Linked DNA regions of Drosophila melanogaster. The protein of the gene in region 1 interacts with the protein of each later gene in a pairwise test. Each region holds a gene or a part of one and is shown on either strand. Other genes may lie near its edges.

Evidence for each region.
Region 2: the proteins of Snmp1 (region 1) and Or22a come close enough for resonance energy transfer, tested with the Drosophila melanogaster proteins (one study listed by BioGRID).

The regions. Positions count from the first base shown.
Region 1 is NT_033777.3:21,164,577-21,170,287, reverse strand, and holds Snmp1 (sensory neuron membrane protein 1), read left to right. Parts: upstream 1-2,082; 5' UTR 2,083-2,159; coding exon 2,160-2,270; intron 2,271-2,330; coding exon 2,331-2,488; intron 2,489-2,554; coding exon 2,555-2,702; intron 2,703-3,147; coding exon 3,148-3,402; intron 3,403-3,470; coding exon 3,471-3,977; intron 3,978-4,037; coding exon 4,038-4,216; intron 4,217-4,276; coding exon 4,277-4,574; 3' UTR 4,575-5,121; downstream 5,122-5,711. Other genes in the region: CG5810 (uncharacterized protein), read right to left, coding at 5,212-5,711. UniProt on the Drosophila melanogaster protein: Plays an olfactory role that is not restricted to pheromone sensitivity. Has a role in detection and signal transduction of the fatty-acid-derived male pheromone 11-cis vaccenyl acetate (cVA). Not required for sensitivity to general odorants.
Region 2 is NT_033779.5:1,518,681-1,522,816, reverse strand, and holds Or22a (odorant receptor 22a), read right to left. Parts: upstream 2,327-4,136; 5' UTR 2,205-2,326; coding exon 2,077-2,204; intron 2,017-2,076; coding exon 1,378-2,016; intron 1,259-1,377; coding exon 901-1,258; intron 835-900; coding exon 766-834; 3' UTR 661-765; downstream 1-660. Other genes in the region: Or22b (odorant receptor 22b), read right to left, coding at 1-114. UniProt on the Drosophila melanogaster protein: Odorant receptor which mediates acceptance or avoidance behavior, depending on its substrates. The odorant receptor repertoire encodes a large collection of odor stimuli that vary widely in identity, intensity, and duration.

The DNA.
Region 1 (5,711 bases):
ATTTATTTAAATAGTATATGCTATGAACATGGAACCAAATCGATCAATATATATAGGACTATATATTGGCTTTGAAAAGCGTACTTTGGACACTCATTTGTCGTCTTCAAGTCCAAGAAGTATGTACCCAGACCAGGATTACCTCAATCTTAAGCCCCTTGAGCACTTAGGCATTTTCAAAACTATTTGGGCCAGCAATAATTGGTAGCAAACGAAATTGAGAATTTCCTCTTTCGCCTCCAGTTCGAACATAATCAAATTGTTGGCTACGCTGGCACTTCATTTTCAATTTTAATTTACATTCGCTCAGCAGAAAATCGAAGAAACCTGGTCGAACATACTGAAACTTATGGCAAAGTATCTGTATCTAAACGATCGGCTGCCGTTGTCAAGCGCGCTTCAATTTCCACTCGCGTCTCGCCGCAACTCGCTTTTCTGTGTCATTTTCCACTGGCGAGCTGGAGAGGTTCTGTCTGTCTGTCTGTCTGTCTGTCTTACATATATGTATGTATGTTTCTCGACTCAAGTCAACTCAACGCAACTCGAGTCGATGGCGCAGTCACGTGTTTTGGGTTTTGGCATTGTTTAAGTTGTTTCTCTGTCTGTAGTTTTCTTGTTTGTTTTTTTCATTTTTTTTTTGTTTTGTGCCATTGTTATGCATTATGTTTTGCACTCGGTTTCAGTTTCGATTTCTGTTTGTGTCAACAAACGACCAACTGAAAGGGGCGTTGCCGAGCCCAGTTAGCCGGTCAAGGTGGCAGAGCATCTAACTTAAATGGATTTATTGGCTAATTGAAGAATGCTTTACGCACTACAAATATTCAGATTACAAGGCAACGAAAATATTTCAGATTTGATGGATACTTAGATACTTCATAGATATTGAGACCAGAGTCTGGAAACTGTGTATACAATCATTCACTGTAAAAACAAGGTTTAAGTTGCATGAACATCATTAAAAAAGAGTATTTACTAGATTTACTTATGAAGAAGTATTTTACTCGATGCTTACGCCTAAAATGTATCTTTTAAGGTTTTGACAGTGAAGCCATAATAAAAATGGATACTAGCATTATTTAACGCCTTATGTCTTTACAAAACTCAACTGCTTCTAATTTTAGAATAGGATAACCTTATAGCAAATAAGTTATAAATTACTTTGAAAATTTAAAATAAAATAAATCCAGAAAATACAATTTTCCAAAATATAATAGAAATATTTGCTCTTCTCACTCAAGCTAATATCAAACCTCGCGAGTCTGGCTTACTCTTTCCCTAATTAGCCATCAACACTTGCATTGGTTCTCCTTGAAATTGGAAAACGTAATTGCCGCAATTAGGGAAGAAAAGTTTCCAAGGAAAGGTAACAAGTGCTAATAGTGGAATATAGGCCAGGTGTCGCATAAGTCATTTCGAAATTCAATTACAGAAGTATAGAAATAAGTTCTACAAGTCCAAGTGCATAACGTTTAGGTAGGTGATAGTAGGTTCTTTGGGTAGCTAATGCGTATCTATGGGTTATGTATGGTGTTTGCTAATATCAATTTCAAAACCAAAATGGGTTACACTTTTATAGAAGTGGTTGCAAATTATAGAAAAACTGAGGATATTCCTTTACTTCCCCCTAAAGAAAGGCAATTAAACGATCTTGTTTATATTCCTAGTCCAAACTTGTTGGTACATCAAATGCATTTCAATGCATTTTGGCCCATTTGGGCTATGCGAACAATTAAGTCTGATTGAAATATAGGTGTACGATCAAAACGACTTGATGACGAGGGTCCAGATGAACAAAAGCCAGTTATACCGCATTCGTGCGTCCGACTATGGCCGAAACTGCGTGGAGTGTAGAGCGTAAAGTGGAAACAATTTATAATACTCAAATACATGCAATTATTGATTTTATAAGTAATGCCGTGTTATCTGATTGTTTTGCCATCCGGCCTGCCGCCTCCTCAACCGCAAATGCTGCTGCTATGGCTGAGTGAAAAATATTCGCACGTTCCGTCCGATTTGAGGAGGGGATTCCGGACTTCAGTGTGGAGACGATTCAGTTGCGTCGCGACTGTGAAAGCCTCTGGTCTTCAGCTCGAAGGAGGCAATCGGATTGAAAGGATTTCCGTGCACGAATCGAGTAGAGATCGAAACATTGCCCAGAGATGCAAGTACCTCGGGTTAAGCTGCTCATGGGGTCGGGAGCCATGTTCGTGTTTGCCATCATCTATGGCTGGGTTATCTTTCCCAAAATTCTCAAGTTTATGATATCGAAGGTGGGATCGATGAGGGAGTTATACCCGGCTTAAATCTTATAATAGCTTCCCACCCAATAGCAAGTAACTTTAAAGCCCGGATCGGATGTTCGGGAACTCTGGTCCAATACTCCATTCCCACTGCATTTCTATATCTACGTTTTCAACGTAACCAATCCGGATGAGGTATCCGAAGGAGCTAAGCCACGGCTACAGGAAGTGGGTCCCTTCGTTTTCGAGTGGGTTTCTATATATTGGATTGTGTAGGATAGCAAGTAACTAACACTGTTTCTCCCTGCTTTGAGTGAGTGGAAGGACAAGTATGATTTGGAGGATGATGTCGTAGAGGACACGGTCAGCTTCACCATGAGGAACACGTTCATTTTCAACCCGAAGGAGTCGCTGCCACTTACGGGCGAGGAGGAGATTATTTTGCCGCATCCCATAATGCTGGTAATTATTAAATGGTTTAGTTCATATTTTTTGAAACTATACAAGTTTCCAAACATTTTCGTTAAATCAATCATATTCTTCCATTTCTTCATATAAAATTCAATCCCATACCCTGCTATACCTTACTAAAAATGGTTAGTAAATTTAAAATCAACACTCACTGCATCAGCGACTTTATGGCAAACGTTGGGAATTAGAGATTCTAGTCAGAGCTATGGAAAACTGCACTTAAGGCGCCAGCTAATGACCACGTGGCCCATTGTTAGCCATGTGAATTATGCAAATCGCATTCCCAGCCCCAAAATAGCAGCCACAAAATTAACCCATTAAGAGTGATAGAAATGGATTTCAGAATGGCGTCTTTTGTGTTCTGTAATTCTAAGCTGAATTTAGTCTGCGATTTATTGGCGGCGATTATATGTTTTTCCCTTTCCAATTTTTACAGCCTGGCGGCATTTCGGTTCAAAGGGAAAAGGCTGCCATGATGGAGCTGGTTTCCAAAGGATTAAGCATTGTCTTTCCGGATGCCAAAGCCTTTTTGAAAGCTAAATTTATGGATTTATTTTTCCGCGGCATCAACGTAGATTGCTCCTCGGAAGAATTCTCCGCAAAGGCGCTCTGCACCGTGTTTTACACGGGAGAAATTAAGCAGGCCAAACAAGTCAATCAAACTCACTTTTTGTTCTCGTTTATGGGTCAGGTGAGTTCTTAATACTGCCAATTAATACTACTTAAGTGACTGAAATTTCAATTAACATCGAAAAACAGGCCAATCACTCGGATTCTGGCAGATTCACTGTCTGTCGCGGAGTGAAAAATAACAAAAAGCTTGGAAAGGTAGTGAAATTCGCCGACGAACCGGAGCAAGACATTTGGCCAGATGGCGAGTGCAACACCTTTGTGGGCACTGATTCTACGGTCTTTGCACCGGGCTTGAAAAAGGAGGATGGCCTGTGGGCATTCACGCCGGATTTGTGTAGATCCCTGGGCGCTTATTATCAGCACAAGTCATCCTACCATGGCATGCCATCGATGAGATACACCCTGGATTTGGGGGATATACGTGCCGATGAGAAGCTTCATTGTTTCTGCGAAGATCCCGAAGATCTGGACACGTGTCCGCCCAAGGGCACTATGAATCTGGCGGCCTGTGTTGGTGGTCCATTGATGGCATCAATGCCTCATTTCTATCTGGGCGATCCAAAGCTGGTTGCCGACGTTGATGGTCTCAATCCGAATGAAAAGGATCATGCGGTCTACATAGACTTTGAACTTGTAAGCAAGCAATTTGAGTAATGAATATACATGCATATTATCTATTTCTACTCCCTTCAGATGTCTGGAACACCTTTTCAGGCTGCCAAGCGTTTGCAGTTTAATCTGGACATGGAGCCAGTGGAGGGCATTGAACCCATGAAGAATCTACCCAAGCTGATATTGCCCATGTTTTGGGTGGAGGAGGGCGTGCAGTTGAACAAGACCTACACGAACTTAGTGAAATACACACTATTTCTGTAAGTTGGAATCTACATTGTTAAGAGAAATTATATAACATATTTTAATTATCTTTTTAGGGGCCTAAAAATCAACTCAGTCCTGCGCTGGTCCCTCATTACTTTCTCCCTGGTGGGCCTGATGTTTTCCGCCTATCTTTTCTACCACAAATCCGACAGTTTGGACATAAACAGCATCCTCAAGGATAACAACAAGGTAGACGACGTGGCCAGCACAAAGGAGCCCTTGCCTTCAGCAAATCCAAAGCAATCTTCTACTGTGCACCCTGTTCAGTTGCCCAATACTCTGATTCCCGGCACGAATCCCGCTACCAATCCAGCTACCCATCACAAAATGGAGCATCGGGAGCGCTACTAATACCCCAAATGGCATTCTCCAGCGATCTCTGCACCATAGTCGTAGTCCACTGCACCTGTGTAGTCCAATATGAGCTAATCAACTGAGACAGATCTAAGCACATTCGTCTGGGAAACTGGTCGCTGGCCAATGGAGTGATCGCTAATCGATGACCACTGATCGCAGATGACAAGATCTGTGCGCTCCACTGACACCGATCATCGTGGATTCAGTAATAAAAAATAAAAAAACGCAGAAGTTCAGAAGTTCGAGTTCAGCGATCACAAGAGTCGGTGAATTGACAAATCGTTTTTAAACAATGGCTGCAATGTTTGCAAACCGAAAACAATTGCGGAGACAGGCGGAAAAGTTGAAGTGAAAATATCTCAACTTGTATAGCGTTGATTAATGATTTGTAAACAGTATGCAAAAATTACACTTTTTTAATTAATTTTAATGAAGACGAATTATAAGTACTTGTTCTGTTGGCCCCTTAAAGTGAAGTGTTTGTAGTTGTAAATGTAAAATCAAACAAAGAGGGGGCAAATAAATGGTATTTATTTGGCTTAATTTATGCAGTTTCATTTATATAATATTTTCTCATTAGTATAAATAAGTAGGAATTTTAATACTATTTCCCATTTAATAGATTATTTTTCTATGCCATTCCACATCTCATTGGCCCTCGAGGATCTCCAACTAATCTATCTTCCAAAATGGTTGTGTCCTTAGGCAGTTCGACGAACTCCAACAGATCCGCCAACTGGCCGCAATTGAGTTCCGCTTCCTCGACAAAGAAATCCTCATCCAGATCCTTGATAAAGATCTCCTTTCCCTTCTCGTGACTTATCTCCAAGTAGTTGAGATCCTTCAGATGGGGCAACATGTCCATGTGATTCGAAGTCAAGTTGTCGTAGGTAAAACTCAATCTTTCCAATCCCTTGGCTGAGGTAATTTTGGGTAAATCCGCGAGATTTACAATGTCCGTTACATCCAAGTCAACGAGCTTACTGGCCTTGGACAGAAAGTCAAGTCTATACAGATTGGTATTGGCCAAGTAAAGATGCTCCAGATCCTGGGGCTGCGAAATCTTCAACTCATGCAGCTTTGGGTTTGCCTCCAATTGGACACCAATCACTCGACCATCCAACTCCACTG
Region 2 (4,136 bases), on another chromosome or scaffold:
CACTGTCCAGCCAAAGGACCACATCACCCGATCTAAGTAAACGAAGGCATCTCGGGACTTAACCCGCTCGCTCAATGGCTTTTCTTTAATGTGGGGAAAGAACTGGCTTAACATTTCGTCCGTGGCTCTTTTTGATTATTTGCTTGAGCTGGAAAACAGTGCTTTTTATAGGCCGCCTCACTGTTGCAAATGGTCTCACATGACTTGGCGATTTCAAGAACTTAAGCTTTGTTTCGTATTTGCTAAAAGTTTTCCGGGAATGTCACCGGGGAAAACGTTAACAAATGTATGGTTCCATTCGACCACAATCACCTACAAACTACACCTTCACACCTAAAAGGAAAATATAAGTAAAAAAAAAAGTTTAAAATCGATCAATTAACCAAGAAACTCTTCTTAAAGAGTTTGTATGAATTATACATTTCCCTTGTATTCTCTCACATATTTTGTTTTTGTAGCTTTTATATGTTTCGGTTTTTTTTTTTGTAAGTAACTACATTAGTTATTTGGCAATAATGCATTTTATTAAGTGGACAGTTGTGGTGTATCCGACCCATGCACCTTCCTTTGCGAAAAACTGCAGTATTCCAGTTTGTCTGGCTTTCAAAACTCTTCCACCCGAGGGCGCCACAAAGTTTGATATATATGAAAAACAGTGATATTACTAAATATTTATTAGGGTACAGCAATATATAATATAAAATAATATATATATAATATAATATAATATATAATATAATAGTAGCAGAGCTCGTCCCTCTCAACTTATTGAAACCTTTCGGCCAAGTTAAATTGCTTAATTACCGTAACCACAGAAAATGCCAGCTTCACCATCTATAATAACAAAGTAATTTAAAATAGGTGTAAAATCAATGATATATCTAAAATATTGACACCCACAGCCAAATTTGTTTGCATGGAAATAGGAAACACTCCACCAGCCGTGAGAGTAATGGGTTGCTGAAGATTGTGAAGAAAGTATACCAACGTGGATTTGTAGCGACGATCGGCAGAGGTCCAGTCCGATTGAAAGAGGCAATTGGACATTTCCTGGCAGTCATCGATAATCATGTTGCACAAATAGCAAAAGGGGAACGTCTCCATGGACACGTCGAACATAAAAAGGCAAGTGGCGACACCAGTCCAAAATGTCGAGAAGAACATTAGATTTATCATTGAGAGACCCAGTACAGTACCGATCAGGAGGAACTGCACAAAAATGGTTCCCGAAAAGACGGGTCGCAATGCGTCAACATAGCTAAGAAATAAAAAAAGGCCATTAATAAAAAGGAAAGGAATAGAAGAAAACTGTTTCAAATATTTCATTTTACTATGTCTTTGCGACACAGTGTTCTTGTAGCATTTGAAACACCTTACTCCAATAGCAATCGATGATCCCGAATGCACTCGGTGAGCTCCTCCAAGTACTCATCTTCGGTCCTTCCTGGCTTCGATCGGAGATTTCTCAGTCGCTGTTTCAGGAGGCTAATGTGGCATCGAGCCATAAGCATGGAGATCAAGGGACACACGTCCGTACAGAGATCCATGTAGATGGCCTCCGTCATCAGAAAACACTCGGCGATGCTGGAGATGTAAAACTGTTCGTCGGAATCGATATATGGAAAGTACATGCGCCAAGCATGGCGTCTCTCAAGCAGAAAATACGGGAAGTTCATTACCACGAAGGTGGAGTAAAAAATGTGATACAAAATATCGAAAAAGTTTCCCATGGCGACATAGCGATGAACAGTGGACCTCTCCTTATCGCTAAGGCATCTCTTGTCCAGCTGATCCAGTAAAACCTTAGCTTCCTGTCTTTTCTTGAATCCAATCAAGGTGAAGGCGCACTTAAAAGAGCTTCCGTACATGTTGACTCCAATCTCGAGGGAACTAAGGAACTCCCCCGCCGAGAAGGTTTTAAATCGGTGGAGGTACTCGATGCTTATCGAGATCGGCAGAAGGATGAGCATTACTATGTTCACGAACGCTAACCACAGTTTATAAGGAAGGATCCACCTTTACGGGAAATTATGGTAGCTTTAATACTTATATATGTGCTTACATTGATTTCATTACCTTTTGTTTTCAGGCTCTGTCCAGCCAAAGGACCACATCACCCGATCCAAGTAAATGAAGGCATCTCGGGACTTAACCCGCTCGCTCAATGGCTTTTCTTTTATGTGGGGAAAAAACTTGCTTAACATCTTGTCCGTGGCTTTGTTTGAATATTTGCTTGAGCTGGGAAACAGTGCTTTTTATAGGCTGCCTCACTGTTGCAAATGGTCTCACATGACTTGGCGGTTTTAAGAGCTTTAGTTCTGTTTCGTATTTGCTGTAAGTTTTTAAAGAATGTCAGTAGAAAATGTCATATGACATTTAATCGACCGCAGGTTACATTTCAGCTGAATGGAATTATGCTCGTTCAACGATCAGGAACTTAACAAGCAATTTACCGAGTAAAACACTACCAAAAATACATTAATTCGCCATACATCTTCATACGACCATACTGAACCGAATTCCCCTTTTCCCGCCCAATATCATTGCCTTTCGTCTGACATTGCGTTGACCATTGGCGGTGTTAATCAATGCCACCGCGATGGCATGCAACCGAAAAATGATTGCCGCCAAACACATTATCTGTATTATTAATGAGCTGCATGCCGCAGACTGCACTCGTGAAAAATATGCGGCTTAAATTTGATTTATAATTTCCGAAATATATTCTAAAAATGTATAAAAATGATGATGTGCTGAAGACCTTGAAAGGCACACAATGAATTAAATAGAAGAGATTAAACGTGTATCAATCATATTATAAATATATTTTATGTATTACAGCAAATCTTTAGACAACTTTACAGATCCCAAATGACTTTAAAACAATTTCAAAGATATAATATAAAGTTTGGACATCATTTAAGCTTTCGCTACGTGCATCGAGTGTCCTGTAAATTGGCATCATTGTTGATTGAGTTGATCGAGGGACCCGCTGCGGGTTTCCCCGACCAAACATCTCTCTTTAGAGCACTTTGCACAGCACATTGCATTCTCATTATAGCCTTGCTTTTCGGGTGTTTAATTAATTGAAAGCATTTTTGCCAGCGTTTGCGGCCGCTTTCCCTTTTGCCAATTTCACGGAGAGTGTGAAGCGTCGACCGTAATAATATTGACTCATTGGCGTTGAGGACGGACATCCAGACATACAAATGCACACAAAAGGACCTTCGTGAACATGCAAATTAAATGCATTCGGCGGAGACAACCCGTCCATGTGCCCGCCCTAGAATCTTTTGTCGGTTCTGGTAATTAATCGGAATATTTTACATTTTTTTTTTCCGGCTCATGGTAGAGAGACGAAATTTAAAATTCAATCAGCGTCTGCAGTGCGCAATCCAATTTAAGTTATAAAGATGGGTGGGTATTGGCAAATTATGATCCTTCCAGATCGTGCATTTTATTCCTAATGGGTATATTTTTGTGTAAACGATCGAAACGGGCTTTTTTGCATTTTTTAATTTTTAAGTTATCGCGAGTTTCACAAGCTATAATTAAATCATTGAAAAGTCAACTTAAGTAGAGGTTACACAGTTTACAAACTCATCTTTAAATCAACGATTCCTGGAAAATATACCATATGTGTGAATTCAGACTGATTCTCATCGTTGGTCATTGAAGTCTAGTCTAAATTGTGACCGAAACACCACAGAATATGGTACAAAAAAAGAAAACAACCGAACTATTACTATTATTTTTGGTTTTAATTGGCTATTCCTCTAACTAATTAAAACTGTGGCGACAGTAGCTATTATATGCTTGACTAATTTACAACATATTCCGGTTACAAACAACGTATACATAACATAAATTTATTGACGGCGATCTGATGACAAATGGATTGGTACGCACGCAAATATTTTGGAATTTAAGTGATTAAGTTTTTTAAGTGGTAATGTTTAAGGGTGAAAAATATATATATGAGAACATCGCTATTAAAGTAATGCATATACACGATAAATGTACTTTAACATATTTATTTTAGCTTGTTTTGGGTAAGTTCAACTAATTATATCAATATATGTGTAATTCCATACTATATTTTCTCGTAAACCTTTGGCCGCTCCACATGGCCATGC